Anolis sagrei: one gene and its partner. The protein of the gene in region 2 interacts with the protein of the main gene of each other region in a pairwise test. Links are inferred from orthologs where the notes say so. Each region holds a gene or a part of one and is shown on either strand. Other genes may lie near its edges.

What was found. The genes of interacting proteins can lie anywhere in the genome.
Region 1: the proteins of GOLGA2 (region 2) and CYB5R2 interact in binary tests that used the Homo sapiens proteins (3 or more experiments, as listed by UniProt). The two-hybrid records come from large-scale screens. The link is inferred for Anolis sagrei from reciprocal best matches to the Homo sapiens genes GOLGA2 and CYB5R2.

Annotation. Positions count from the first base shown.
Region 1 is NC_090021.1:255,183,498-255,191,448, forward strand, and holds the start of CYB5R2 (NADH-cytochrome b5 reductase 2), read left to right. Parts: upstream 1-4,878; 5' UTR 4,879-4,975; coding exon 4,976-4,990; intron 4,991-7,013; coding exon 7,014-7,160; intron 7,161-7,460; coding exon 7,461-7,533; intron 7,534-7,951. Other genes in the region: OVCH2 (ovochymase-2), read left to right, coding at 189-208. UniProt on the Homo sapiens protein: NADH-cytochrome b5 reductases are involved in desaturation and elongation of fatty acids, cholesterol biosynthesis, drug metabolism, and, in erythrocyte, methemoglobin reduction.
Region 2 is NC_090031.1:16,805,326-16,813,414, reverse strand, and holds the start of GOLGA2 (golgin subfamily A member 2), read left to right. Parts: upstream 1-5,083; 5' UTR 5,084-5,218; coding exon 5,219-5,266; intron 5,267-8,089. UniProt on the Homo sapiens protein: Peripheral membrane component of the cis-Golgi stack that acts as a membrane skeleton that maintains the structure of the Golgi apparatus, and as a vesicle thether that facilitates vesicle fusion to the Golgi membrane.

The sequences.
Region 1 (7,951 bases), on a different chromosome or scaffold from region 2:
CACCTCACAACCTCTGGGGATGCCTGCCATAGATGTGGGTAAAACACGAGGAGAAAATGCTTTTGGAACATGGCCATACAGCCTGGAAAACTTACAGCAACCCAGTGATTAACAACTGATCTTTATTGTTAACTAAAATGCTTATTTACTATTTATATCTGCTGTTTATTGTGTTTCTGTTTTTCCAGACTCATCAAACAAAGCATGAACATTTTCATGTGAATTTATGCTTTTGAAACAAGCATCGTATGGAAGTATATTTCCTGATTCATCTATATGAGTTCTAGCAATGCTGCAGACAGAACTCATGGACTGTATTTGACACACATAATTCAAGAACATTTTTAAAGGCCCAGCTTTCACGTGGGGAAACAATATCTGTATGGATTTGAAAATCAATGTCTTTCAATGTGGTAAAGCAATGACATCTGTGACATTTTTCTTCAGAGATGTAAACCCCACAAAGTTTTGTAAGGCCTGTCCCTAATGCTTGGAAAGGCATAACATTGCAAATTTGAGGACACTTTAGAGTTACTTCTGAGTAAACATGTTTCAAATTGGCTAACAAGTGATTTTTTAAAATGTTCATAGGACGTATTTTATCATAGTAATCATGTAAATGTGCATATATTATTTTCACATGTATTAATACACATTTTATCATACAAGAGCAAGATCCACTTCAGAAATACAAAGGAATCAGTGACATTCCTGTTCTAAGCAGGTGAGGGAAATCTCACCCCAAAAATCACAAGTCACTCATGAGAAGCATACAGTTTTTCATCTTCTCTTGCTCCATGCGTAAGCATCTTATAAAGGGGATTTGTATATCCCCAATGGGGAAATACAGTGTCCCAGGTTTAATTGTTATGCCTACTTATATTTCTGCATACATGGATTACCTCGGTCAGAGTTTCTCAAACTGTGCTCCTCCAGATGTTTTGGACTTCAGCTCCCACAATTCCTAACCATTGGCAAGCTGGCTGGGATTTCTGGGAGCTGAAGTCCAAAACATCTGGAGGAGCACAGTTTGAGAAACACTGATCTAAGTAGTAGCAGAAGGATTAAATGAATAAGGATAGTTCATAGAATTTTTAAAATCCTCAGAAACTATTGTCCTTATAATAAAGGTAACTTTATGCTATCAATTAATGAATGAGTTTGTTGTTGTTTATTCGTTTAGTCACTTCTGACTCTTTTTTTTAAATTGTATTGGTTTTTTAAAAATGTAAATATGCAAAATAGGAACAGTAGGAACAGTAGGGTAGTATAGGGGTGGAGGGAAAGGTGGGAAAGAGGGAAAAAAAGAAAAAAGAAGGAAGGGAGGGGGGAGGGGATGCTGGGATGGGGATGGGGTAGGTTGGGTACTTCCAGGTTCACCCAGGGTGACTCATATGGTTCTACATTTGTGTACACTTGTAGGTGTGTATACATAATATATTCTTCTATTTGTTTGTCCGTATATATACACACACACACCCCAGCATACATATTTATTTCCTTGCTTGAGTCAGTTGTCATCTTCTTGTTTATGTAGTCCTTGAATTTAAATTACAAGTCCATTATAAAAATCTCTTTATTTTCACCTTTTATGGATTCTAGCACTGCTTTCCAGTCAGTTTTTTGGGGGGTTTTGTATAGTTCTGTGAAATTCTATGTGTCAATATGTCCATATTTATTATGTCCATTATTTTTGCTGTTCATTGGTCCATTGCTGGGATTTCTTTGGTTTTCCACATTTTTGCTAAGGTCATCCTTGCGGCTGCTATTAGGTAGAAAAATATCACCAAATCACTTCCGACTCTTGGTGACCTCCTGGACCAGTCCATGCCAGAGCTCCCTGTTGGCCGTCACCACCCCCAACTCCTTCAGAGTCAAGCCACTCACTTCAAGGATGCCATCCATACATCTTGCCCTTGGTCTGCCCCTCTTCCTTTTTCCATTTCCCCCAGCATTATTGTCTTCTCTAAGCTTTCCTGTCTTCTCATGATGTGGCCAAAGTACTTCATCTTTGCCTCTAATATCCTTCCCTCCAATGAGCAGTCGGGCTTCATTTCCTGAAGTATGGACTGGTTGGATCTTCTGGTGGTCAAAGGCACTCTCAGAATTTTCCTCCAACACCACAGCTCAAAAGCGTCTATCTTCCTTCACTCAGCCTTCCCGATGGTCCAGCTCTCACATCCATAGGTTACTACAGGGAATACGATTGCTTTAACTATGTGGATCTTCGTTGCCAGTGTGATGCCTCTACTCTTCACTATCTTATTGAGAATGAGTTTGAGTATATTTGAAATTATAAAAAGACTTTCTGTATATATTTCAGATTTCAATATTAATGTCAAAAATACTTAGTATGATTTATGTAAGATTTGTGCTACATTACAACAGTCAAGACAAATATCACTTAAGTAAAATAAACATGCTATATTAAATATTAAATAACCGGAAAAATAAAATAAGGTGTAAACACTAAACTAATCTGGGAATCTGCTATTGCAACACATCCAATTATTATTAAGTGAGGGGGAGAATATGTGGAATGAGGTATCAGCATGGGTGTGGGAATATAGGCATAGCTGTTAACACCCATGTCCTACCCAGTCCACGAGATGCGAGTGTGGAGAAGAGCAAACCACAGATCACCTATTGCAATGCAGCCTGAGCCCTGCCACATGCACAGTGGAGGACCTTCTTATGACAACACCAGAGGCACTCCAAGTGGCCATCTACTGGTCAAAGGACATTTAGTATAAAGCCAAGTTTTCAAACTTTGTTTTTTTAAAATATAATACAACTGTTTGGGTCACCCCTGATACGCTAAATAAATGCCCAGCACTGTATATAATACCTGTGCTTTTGTTAGAAATAACCCTGTCAAGTATGAGCCAGTGGCTAAAGCATCTGGGCCTGGGGTTAAGAATTGTGGAACCCCAAGCAAGAAGCTTATGGGTGAAAAGCTTTCATCTGACCATTTCTACAAAATATATATATACCTCTTGTTGCTCAGATCTGAGAGGGTGGGGCAACTGGAAGAACTGGTTGGTCGGCTGGTTTTACTGGAAAAGCCAAAAAGGGAGAGGAATTAAAACAATGGCAAAAAGGAAAATCTCTGACCCATGATTTGCTGATAACAAAGCCTTCTTACCCCAACCCACTCCCATCTCTGCTTCTAGAGTGAGGTTTTTCTCAGACCTTCTCAGGCTTGTTGTCGTATTTGACCCACAAAGGATGAATGTTCCTACAGCAGCATTTCTCAACCTGGGGTCGGGACCCCTGAGGGGGTTGTGAGGGGGTGTGAGAGGGGTCACCAAACACTATTAGAAACCACAGTATTTTCTGTTGGTCATGGGGGTTCTGTGTGGGAAGTTTGGCCCAATTCTATTGTTGTTCAGAATGCTCTTTGATTGTAGGTGAACTATAAATCCCAGCAACTCTCAAATGTCAAGGTCTATTTCCCCCAAATTCCACCAGTGTTCACATTTGAGCATGTTCAGTATTCGTGCCAAGCTTGATCCAGATCCATCATTGTTTGAGTCCACAGTTCTCTCTGGATGTAGGTGAACTACAGCTCCAAAACTCAAGGTCAATGCCCACCAAAACCTTCCAGTATTTTCTGTTGGTCATGGGAGTTCTCTGTGCCAAATTTGGTTCAGTTCCATCATTGGTGGAGTTCAGAATGCTCTTTGATTGTAGGTGAACTATAAATCCCAGCAACTACAACTCCCAAATGACAGGATCAATTTCCCCCAACCCCACCAGTATTCAAATTTGGGCATATCAGGTATTTACAATATGATTCATAACAGTAGCAAAATTACAGTTATGATGTAGCAGTGAAAATACTTTTATGGTTGGGGGTCACCACAACATGAGGAACTGTATTAAAGGGCCATGGCATTAGGAACGTTGAGAAGCACTGCCCTACAGAGAAATATCAATGCACAGAGCCTTTCAAGCACAAGAAGCCATGGTGAACTTCCGAGTTTCTGTTGTAGTTTTGTAGAGTCAAATATTTTGACTCTACAAAAGTTATTCTAAGACAGTGTTTCTCAACCTGGGAGTCGGGATCCCTGGGAGGGTCGTGAGGAGGGTGTCAGGAGGGTCGCTAAAGTCCATCAGAAAACACAGTATTTTCTGTTGGTCTTTGGGGGTTTGTGTGGGAGGTTTGTACCCATTCTATTGTTTGATTGGGGGGTCACCAGAACATTTTTTTTTAAAAAATTCAGGAATCAGGATATCTTTGTGCTATTTTGGACAAGCATAAGAAACCAGGCAAAGGTTCCATATTATTTGAGGAGTGTATTGGAGTTGGAAGAGATCACAAGAGCCATCCATTTCTACCCCCTGCCATGCAGAAACACCCAATCAAAGCCCCATTGGATTGCTGACCAAAAAGTTGGCAGTGTGGTGAGCTCCCCCTGTTAGCTCCAGCTTCTCATGCGGGGACGTGAAAGAAACCTCCCTCAGGATGGTAACACATCCAGGCGTCCCTTGGGCAACGTCCTTGCAGACGGCCAATACTCTCACACCAGAAGCGACTTACAGTTGCTCAAGTCGCTCCTGACATGAGAGAGAGAGGGGAAAAAACCACAACACGAGGAGCTGTATTAAGGGGTCAGCGTATTAGGAAGGTTGAGAACCACTGATTTAAAATAATGCAAGGCTTGTAAGTTGAAGTCCAGAACACCTGGAGAGCTGACGTTTGCCCAAAACTCCCTTTTGAGGGGCTTCCTGGTATGGAAACAGAGTGGCAGCCTGGGCCAAGAGGGAAAGGAGAGCTTGGCAGAGGCAGCCCTGTCGCAAGGGAGGGGAGGTGCCAGTTCAGCCAGGCGCCCTTTGCTCGGCTGGGGTGGGGAAGGAGAAAAGAGAGAGGGAGGGAGGGAGAGAGGGAGGGGCCTGCAGGTGAGGGACCTGGGCGCCCCCTCCCCAGCCAGCCCCGCCCTCGCCCTGCCTTGGGGAGAGCCGCGCGTCCGCCATGGAGGCTGCTTGGGTGAGCCAGCCCTGCCCTGCCCCGCTTTGGGGGCGCCGTCGGGTTTCTTGCTGGGAAAGGCGGGGGGGTGGGTCGCTTTTGGGCTCCCCGTTGGCTTGTTCTGGGAGAGAAGCGGTTTCTCACTTACCATTCCCATTGCTTAAAGTCTAAGCAAGTCAGTGCTCCCTGTGGCCATGAATGTAGGGGTCGGGGGGGGGGGGGGGAGTTTGAAGTATCCAGGGAGTTCCTTCCAAAAGTGTGTGTGTGTGTATATATGTTAAAGGTAAAAGGTTTCCCCTGACATTAAGTCCAGTCGTATCCGACTCTGGGGGTTGGTGCTCATTTCCATTTCTAAGCTGAAGAGCCAGCGTTGTTCATAGACACCTCCAAGGTCATGTGGCCGGCATGTCTGAGTCGCCTCTGAGACTCAGAGAGACTCAGAGCCTCTAACCGCTCTGAGTCGCCTAAGGGCTGAGAAGAGCGGTATACAAATGAAGTAAATAAATAATAAATGTCTGCATGGAGCGCACTTACCTTCCTGCCTGAGCGGTACCTATTGATCTACTCACACTTGCATGTGTGAGTAGGAGAGTCCATTTTCTAGGGGTGTGTTGGGTTGAAGGAGGAAAACAATTTCCCCCTGTTCTCCTGTTATTTCCTCCATCCATGTCCCCGTTGTGGAAACAACCCCCATTTATGAGATGAGGGAGAATATCTATCAAAAACAGGGGAAATGGTTTTCCTCCTTCAGCCCCCCCCCCCCATAAAATGGGACTATCCTTCTCTCTCTAGTTCACCCTAATGGCCTCCGAACTGATAATGGAACAGTACCATTGAGCTGTGGAAGTGGAAAGGTGTCAAGAGGCATTAATTCTACATCATGAAATAGCATAACTGGGAGAAAAGTGTATGGAACATGATATTAAATGGCTTAAAGAGGGTACACAATCAAAAAGCATGCCCATGCACACTTGAAGTGAAGAAAGCTCCAAAAATCTCAATAAAAAGTCATGTTTTGACTTGGTCTTGGAAAGAAGACAACCTTTGTGCCCATGGGACTTCCAGAGGGCACCACAGCTGAGAAGACCCTTTCTTTAGCACACAGGGGAACAGTTTTCTCACCCTTCTGTGCAAACAGGGTTGGAATAAAAAGGTATGTCACTGTCATGTTCTTGCAAGTTGTTTGATGAAGACTCTAACTTGGGCTGTAAGAAAAAAAATGCCACCAACTTGAATTATAGTGTCTTATGTTTTAGCACAGTGGTTCTCAACCTGTGGGTCCCCAGATGTTTTGGTCTTCAACTCCCAGAAATCCTAACAGCTGGTAAACTGGCTGGGATTTCTGGGAGTTGCAGGCCAAAACACCCAGGGATCCACAGGTTGAGAACCCCTGCCTGTGGGTCCTGGAAGATGACATCATTGCTACCTATATGAACATAGTGAGATTGTTTGCCATCCCCTTCAACTAGACAGGAAATTAGGGTTTTAACTGTACCTCTTTGAGTCCCACCCAGTCAGATGTTTTAGGCATGGATTTCTACATTGCTAGGGGGTAGTCTAGATTAAACTTGAAGGAATCTTCCAACTTTATCACTCTATGTTTCTAATATGTGTTTCCTCATATCATTACATTTTTCCTAATCTTCTTCACTTTCTACAGTCATCTTAGAAAAATTCAAGGGTCAAATCCTCCTTAGCCATGAGGCAAACAGTATGGCTTCCCTTTCTCCAGGTTTTTCTTCTCTGTAGAAATGATGATTGTATAGCACAGAGTTTCTCAAACTGTGCTCCTCCAGATGTTTTGGACTTCAGCTCCCACAATTCCTAACATCTGGTAAGGTGGCTGGGATTCCTGGGAGCTGAAATCTAAAACACCTGGAGGAGCACAATTTGAGAAACACTGGTATAGCACATGCTTTTTTCTTTTTTAGCAAGTCCTCCAACAATATATAAAAAACACCCTAGCACAACTTTATAGTGGGAATTGTAGTATATCAAGAGGTGTTTTCATTTTTTTTTTGTATATCTTTGTTTTCCCCCTTAGGACCTCTCTTTTTGGATTGCTGGGGTGGTAGTGGCGGCATCTACCCTGCTGTTGCTTTTTAAAGCAATGGGACCTAAGGCAAAAAGAGCTCTGGTGACCTTACAAGATCCAAATATCAAGTATCCCTTGCCGTTGATAGAGAGAGAGGTGAGTTGTCTGTAATGTGATTTCACAATATTAATCTGTTTTTAATGTAAGACTTGTCTTTCAAGCCCTATCTACTTGTAAAGACAGCAGCTGTCTAGATTGGGATAATTTTAACTAGCACTGCCATGGACTGAGCTAGAGACCTTTCGTGTGGATCCAGCTCCTCCCTGAAATTTGCAAGGAAAGTGTAAACCTTATTTTGATTGTGGTATTTGGATGCCATGAAACTCTGGGGAGGAGGGTGTAAACTTTCTTTGGATTGTGGCAATCCAAAATTGTCTCAATTTTTCATTTCAACAGGAGATCAGCCACGATACCAGGAGATTTCGGTTTGGTCTACCCTCATCAGAACACATATTAGGCTTACCTGTAGGTAAGTCTAGCTTTGTCTTATTTTATAATTGATTTCTCAAATAGGGCCTTTTCAGCCATAACCCACACAACCTATCCTGCCTTTTGATTGACTTTCCCTGATATTGTATCTGCTGAGTACATTTAGATTTATGCTGGAATGTTAGAGAAAAGTAGTAAATATTGATTTGTATGAAGTATTGAGAAAGCAGGAATGTAGTAACCTTGGTTTGTTAAGTAGGGTCTTCTGAAGTCTGGCTACTCTTTTCTGTATAAACGTGAATAAAGTTTCTTTCCTCTCCATTTTAACTGTGCTGAAACTGTGGTCTTGATGCTTGGAATTGTGATGGATACTTATGTATCTGGCATGTAGGATCTTGTTGTTGTTGTTCATTCGTTCAGTTGTCTCCGACTCTTCGTGACCTCATGGACCAGCCCAC
Region 2 (8,089 bases):
TTCTGCTTGTGGGCAAACAGTATTTCTTGCTGTTTCTTTGCCAGTGTTGATGTGGAGAGTGTCTGGTTTGCCTACTCTGGAACATGCAACATATCATTGTCCTTCTTTAGGGGTCCCTTTCAAATCTTTGATACTGCATCTGCCACATACATATATGTGTGTGTGGGCATGGCTGGATGGACTTTTGTCAGGAGGGCTTTGATTATGTTTTCTTGCCCTGGTGAAGGGAGTTGGACTGGATGGCCTTAAGGCAGTTCTCAACCTGGGAAGTCTAGACCACAGGGGGGACGGGACCAGGAGGTTGTCAGAAGGGTCACTAAAGACTACGAGAAAACACAGAATTTTCTGTTGGTCATGGGTGTTCTGTGTGGGATGTTTGGCCCAATTCTATTGTTGGTGAGGTTCAGAATGCTCTTTGATTGTAGGTGAACTATACATCGTAGTAACTACAACTCCCAAATGTCAAGGTCTATTTTTTATTTTCTGTGTTCACATTTGGGCATTCTGTCTCTCCCCAGCAAAATGTCTTAGGCGAGTATTCTTGCCAAGTTTGGTCCAGATCCATTATTGTTTGAGTCCACAGTGCTCTCTGGATGTAGATGAACTACAACTCCCAAACTCAAGGTCAATGCCCACCAAACCCTCTCAGTATTTTGTGTTGGTCACGGGAGTTCCGTGTGCCAAGTTTGGTTAAATTCGATCGTTGGTGGAGTTCAGAATGCTCTTTGATTGTAGGTGAACTATAAATCTCAGCAACTACAATTCCCAAATGACAAAAGCATAATTTTTTGAGTGATGGTCACTCCTTGTGTAGTGAGACGTTTTGTTGCCAATTTTGGTGTGATTTCGTTCATTGGTTCTTTTGTTTTTAAGGTACTCATTATGCACAGAGCATTTTTAGATAGACAAGATAGATAGATAGAGAGATAGAGTGATCCATAGTGCTTTGGGACAAGCACTCCCATTACTCTCTCCCAATTTGGGGGATTCTGGGAGCTGTAATCTCAAAGCTCTGAATTGCCTTTAAACAGCCAAATCCTGAATTAAACAAGGTGAAAATTGGCTTCTACACTGTAATAATAATAATAATAATAATAATAATAAGGAGAAGGAGAAGGAGACGACTTTGTTTACACCCAGCCACCATCTCCCCAAGGGGAGTCAGAGCGGCTTACATGAAACCAAGCCCGACAACACATCAATAAAACAAAAAACAATAAGCAGAAACAATACAATTAATATAACTCATATATAAACAGTAACACACAAGGGTTTTAAAAAAAACCTATGGCCGGGCCAAATGTAATAGTTTAAAATTTTAAAAAAATAAACGCTGGGCATGAACAGAGATAGGATGTATCTGATAGGAGGGTTTTAAAAGAAATGAAGGTAGAGCAACCCAATGAGTAGTTACAAGTGCTTCGGAGGACATTTTGCTGGGGATTATTTCCTTTTTCACTGAAGAATGAATGCAAGTTTAACAACACTTGAAATACCATGGCTCAGTACTATGGAATCCTGGGAGTTTTAGTTTGGTATGGCACCAGCATTTTTAGGCAGAGAAGGCTCAAGACCTTGTAAAGCTACAACTCCCAGGATTCCATAGCATTGAAACATAAAGTAATGTCAAACTGCATTCATTCTACATCTTGAGTCAAATAAAAAAGGTAAGGTCTTAAAATCCCTAAATGCATAAATATAATAAATCTGATTTGTAACACTTTTAAGTTTTGAGCTGAGCAGTATTTCTTCATAAATGTGTGATACAGCCTCCAGGCAAGTATGAGTGGAGCTGGTATTTCAGGTAGAGTAAGCAGCCCTTCCCTCTGAGTCATTATTTAATAAGCTTTTCACATGGCTTGAATACTTTGGGAATGATATGATGAGAGGGAAGACAAGCACAGCTTTTCTCTGAGCCGATTTCACAGGGCTGTGGCTGCCCATCCTGCAAATCTGCAACCAAGGATCTTTTCAAAGCAGGCCTAAGACATTTTGTTGGAGAGAGACAGAGGCCTGGAAGCGAATGAGCTGGATGTTGAATCTTGCAATGGAATTAATATCCTCCACTGCAGACAAGACAATGATCAATGCAATTTCTCACTAACTGCGATCGGTCAAGATAATCACAAGAAGCTCTTGAGCCTTCTCTGCCAAAGAGTGCTGGGCCTGCCCGAACTACAATTCCCAGGATTCCATAGCACTGAGACATAGCAGTAAAAGTAGTGTCAAACTGCATTAATTCTACAGTGTAGAAACACACCAAGAAAGTACAGGTCGGAATAGGGTGTGTGCGTATGTATGGTTTTATGAATATACGTGTTCGTCAGGCCAAAATGATGGTGGGCCCAAGCGGAAAAGATGTGACAGACTGTCACTGCTATTCTCTGGCATCAATCATGCTGAAAGTAGGAGCATACAGTATGTCCTTCACAATTTCACATATGAAAACTGGTCGAACAACAGCAAAGTGTAGTCAAAATGAGAAACATGATTGAAAAGGAAGAATATATAAGCTAGGAGGGTTTGCAGCAGTTTCCTTTTGCCCAAGCCTACTGGGAAGGACAAGAGTTTTTTTTCAGACAGCTCTTTAATTAATTAATTTCATTTCTACCCCGCCTTTCTTGATCCTAAAGGGAAATCAAGGCAGCTTTCAAATCTGGCAAAAATTCAATGCTGCACAGGTAAACAATAAAACACATCTCATCAAAATATAAACAAATTAAACATATAAGCAATTAAAACACATATCAATCAATCAAACAAACAGATTAAAAACCTTATAAGAAGAAAGTTTTCAAGACTGAACCAGGAAGTGTTATGTTTTATGTAGTCTAATTGTTTTGTTGGTTTGAAGTATGTATCTTTTAATAAGTCATATATTTAATTCTATTTTAATATTTGTATGTTCCGAGTTTTATTTATTTATTTCATGCACTTTTACCCCTCCCTTCTCCCCCAAAGGGGAACTCAGGGCGGCCTCACAGAAGCACCATACGATGCTGTCAATTCGAAGTAGAATTAAAGCATTAAAAACCATTAAAACACATTATACAATTCATTAGACAGTAGATTATACATGCCGGTAAAATCAAATCCAAGTCTAAGCAGATTCAATGTCGTAAATATCCTAAGTCTTTTTTCCAATTGCCGCTATTTGATTAATGAAATGCCTAGTCCCAGGGCTAAGTCTTCACTTGTCTTCTAAAGGACAATTTACATATTTGTATGATTTGTTTAGTGTTAGCCGCTTTGATACTCCTTTGGGAGAGAGAAAGCAGGATATAAATAATAACAATCATCTTGCTGGGTTTTAATATATTTATTTATTATTTATTATTTATTTGATGCACTTATTAACCGCCATTCTCAGCCCTTACGGGCGACTCATGGCGGTGTACAGTACACATAAAAAGACAGTTACAAAGGCCAGTATCAACAACATATAACTATACGACAAATACAAACTACATAAAAATCCGCTTCGTCTCTTAGTAGAATCATAGCCAGTCTCATCTTCCTTGTACCATTCCAGTTCTCATTACCGTAATGTTGTTGCTTAGCACTTAATTAAATGCCCTCTCGAACAGCCAGGTCTTAAGGCTTTTTCGAAAGGACATGAGGGAGGGCGCCTGTCTGATGTGTGCCGGGAGAGTGTTCCACAGCCGGGGGGCCACCACCGAGAAGGCCCTCTCCCTCGTCCCCGCCAGCCGTGCCTGTGATGCAGGCGGGATCGAGAGAAGGGCCTCCCCAGACGATCTCAAGGTCCTCGTGGGCTCGTAGGCCAAGATGCGGTCAGAAAGGTATTTTGGGCCGGAGCCGTTTAGGGCTTTGTAGGCCAAGACCAGCACCTTGAATTGGGTCCGGTAGCAAATCGGCAGCCAGTGGAGCTGGGACAACAAGGGCGTTGTGTGCTCCCTGCTACCCGCTCCAGTTAGTAACATAATTATAGATATTGTATAATTTGTTTAGTGCTAGCCGCTTTGATTCCCCTTTGGGAAAGAGAAAGCAGGATATAAATAATAATCATCTTGCCGAGTCAATTGAGTGTCACCCATTCTTGTACTTTTAACTCAGTTTGCAGCAACTGGAAAAAGATTACAAATAAGGAAAATTGGGAGAAGAATGAGACTGAGACATTTAAAAAAATAATTTATTTATTTATCATATTTATACCCCGCATTTCTTACCCCGAAGAGGACTCAGGGCAGCCTTACAGACTGGAAACAATTTGATGCCATATAAAAAAAGTCTTCAGGCTAAACATGCCCAGCTCCTTAAGCCGCTCCTCATAGGGCTTGTTCTCCAGCCCCTTGATCATTTTAGTCGCCCTCCTCTGGACACATTCCAGCTTGTCAATATCTCTCTTCAATTGTGGTGCCCAGAATTGGACACAATATTCCAGGTGTGGTCTAACCAAGGCGGAATAGAGCATGGGGAGAATGACTTCCCTAGATCTAGACACTATGCTCGACAAAACTTCCTTGGAAACGTTATGTTGACACTCTCAATTACCAATAAATACCTCAGATTTTACTTCTCTGTACAGTGTTTGGCTGTTTTATTTTCCCCCTGACTGAATGGAATGCAGGAACGCACTTCATTCGTGAGGGAACTCTGGACGAGGAGGCTTCGAAATGGCGCGAAGGCAGACTGCGCCTGCGCACTCCCTTCCGCCTGGGAAAGAGCCTGTCAGAGGCCGCGCCTGCGCAGTGCGGCTCCCCACTAGGCCCGGGCGGAGCCTAGATTGGCTCTTGGGGGCGGGGCCTGTCAGGGCTACGCCTGCGCAATGCCGCTACCCAATCAGTACGGCTCTCCACTAAGCCCGGGCGGAGCCTAGATTAGCTCTCTCCGCCTTGGGGGCGGGGCCTGCCAGAGTTGCGCCTGCGCAGTGCCGCTCCCCAATTAGGCTCTCCCCGTCATGGGAGCGGGGCCTGTCAAGGCTGCGCCTGCGCAATGCCGCTTCCAAGTTAGGCCCGGGCGGAGCCTCGATTAGCTCTCCCCGTCGTGGGGGCGGGGCCTGCCAGGGCTGCGCCTGCGCAGTGCCGCTCCCCAATTAGGCTCTCCCCCTCTTGGGAGCGGGGCCTGTCAGGGCCGCGCCTGCGCAATGCCGCGTCCAAGCTAGGCCCGGGCGGAGCCTCGATTAGCTCTCCCCGTCTTGTCAGCTGGCGGCGCTGTCCCCGCCCTCCCCTCCTTCCTCCGGGCTGACGTGGCCGGGGACATGGCGGACGGGAGCAGGCAGAGCAAGCTGGCGGCGGCCAAGAAGAAGGTAACGCGGCAAGGGAAGGCAGGGGAGGCCGAGAGGAGTTTGCCTCAGGCTCGAAACAGCAACTACGACGACGCCAGGCGGCCTAGGCCTCTAGGCCCAGGCACGCCCCTAGTTGCCCCCTTCTCAGCCAGGCAGAGGCCTAGCCCCCTCCGAGGCGCCTCTCCGGCCTAGGCACGCCCCTCGGAGGCCGGAAGACCCCAGCCCGCCCCGTAGTGGGATTGCTCCGAAGAGAGAGGCCGCGCCTCCCTTCTCAAGGCCCACATTGTGAGAGCCGTTCAGCAGTGGAACTCTCTGCCCAGGAGTGTGGTGGAGGCTCCTTCTTTGGAGGCTTTTAAACAGAGGCTGGATGGCCATCTGTCAGGGGTGATTTGAATGCAATATTCCTGCTTCTTGGCAGAATGGGGTTGGACTGGATGGCTCAGGCTGGAGCAACCCACTCAGGGTGTTTTTGGGTTGCTGTGAGTTTTCCCGGCTGTCTGGCCATGTCCCAGAAGCATTCTCTCCTGACGTTTTGCCCAAATCTATGACGGGCATCCCCAGACATTGTGAGGTCTCTTGGAAACTTGGCAAGTGGGATTTATAGATCTGTATCTATATCCACAAAGACAAATGCAAGAATCATAGAGTTGGAAGAGACCTCATGGGCCATCCAGTCCAACCCCATTCTGCCAAGAAGCAGGAATATTGCATTCAAAGCACCCCTGACAGACGGCTATCCAGCCTCTGTTTAAAAGCCTCCAAAGAAGGAGCCTCCACCACACTCTAGGGCAGAGAGTTCCACTGCTGAACAGCTCTCACAGTCAGGAAGTTCTTCCTCATGTTCAGATGGAATCTCCTTTCTTGTAGTTTGAAGCCATTGTTCCGTGTCTTAGTCTCCAGGGAAGCAGAAAAGCAAGCTTGCTCCCTCCTCCCTGTGTCTTCCTCTCACATATTGATACACGGCTATCATGTCTCCTCTCAGCCATCTCTTCTTCAGGCGAAACATGCTCAGCTCTTTAAACCGCTCTTCATAGGGCTTGTTCTCCAGACCTAAAGCAAATTAAAACAATTAAAGCAATATTAAACAACAAAACAATAAACAATACACCAAAACACAATAAAACTGGACCAGGCCAGAGTAATGGGTACAGAATTAAAAGTGCTGATGTGACAGGTGGTATATAAGGATTATAGGGTAAGTGGAGTGTGCAGTGCGCGGCAATCATAGTTCTAATAAAGTGCTTCTGGGACTTGGTATTGGAGATTTCCTATTCTGGGAAGGCACATCGGAACAGCCAGGTCTTCAAGTTGTTTCTAAAGACTGCCAATGTAGGGGCCTGTCTAAGATCTTTGGGGGGGGGGTGTGTGTTCCAGAGTCGGGGGGCCACCACAGAAAAGGCCCTGTCTTGTGTCCCCACCAAATGCGCTTGTGATGCAGGCGGGATCACAAGCAGGGCCTCTCCAGATGAACGAAATGAACGTGTGGGTTCGTAAACGGAGATGCAGTTATTCTATTCTGACATGCACTTATATGCATCTGTCTGTATTTAAATGCTGAAACAAAGTGACAGAGCTCAGAGAAACGTGAAATAGTTTCTTAGTTTGAGAGGTGTTTCTTGGGAGGAAGCAGATCCTTGGGCATCTCTACATACTCCACTTAGTCAGAAAAAATGAAATGCAATGATACAGACCGGTGGACAATGCCAGGCTCGATATCAGTATGAAAAAGATTTTGGAGTTTTCGTGGGCAACAAGTTAACATGAGCCAACTATGTCGTTCGACAGCTAAAAAAAGAATGGGATTTTGGCCTGCATCAGTAATTATAATAATAAATTTTATTTGTATCCTGCCACCATCTCCCCAAAGGGGACTCAGAGCGGCTAACAAGAGGCCAAGCCCAAAATTATAGTACAGCAAGATAAAATAGAAAGAAGCAAAATTAAAATCAAAATAAAAAATCATGAAATAACAAAATAAAATAAACAATCACAAAATAACATGATAGAGAAATAGAATGCAGTGGGCGGGTCAAATGCACTAGGATAAAATTGATAAAACCCTGGATGAGATAAGTGATGGGAGAATGTCTTTCTGAGGGAAGAGCTCAAAAAGAATGAACTATGGGGTTAGACCAGGGGTCCTCAAACTTTTTAAACAGAGGGCCAGGTCACAGTCCCTCAAACTTTTGGAGAACCAGATTATAATTTGAAAAAAATGAATGAATTCCTATGTGCACTGAACATATCTTATTTGTAGTGCAAAAAAAACCCTTTAAAACAATGCAAAAATTAAAATGAAAACAATTTTTACAAATATAAACTTATTAGTATTTCAATGAGAAGTGTGGACCTGCTTTTGGCTTATGAGATAGGATTGTTGTTGTTGTTGTTGTTGTTGTATGTTTTCAAGGAATTTCAGACTTGAGGGCCAGGTACATGACCTTGGAGGGCCGTATTCGGCCCCCGGGCCTTAGTTTGAGGACCCCTGGGTTAGACCTTCATTAAGGGCAGGGGAAAGTGCATCATGAAGATGGAACTGTAGTTGGAACAGACAAAATATGGAATATATGTTCACTTGCCAAAGGCATATCAGAAGAGCCAAGTTTTTAGGTCTTTCTTAAAAGCTGCCAGGGTAGGGGCTTGCCTAATCTTACTAGGTAGCGAGTTTCAAAACTGAGGGGCCACAGCAGAGAAGGGTCTCTCTCTCGTCTCCACCAGTTGTACTTGACATAAAAGTGGCAGTGAAAGGAGAGCCTCCCCAGAGGAGGTTTATGGAAGGAGCTGTGGTCATGAAGGTAGACGAGTCCCAAACCGTTCAGGGCTTTGTAGGTGATAACCTGCACC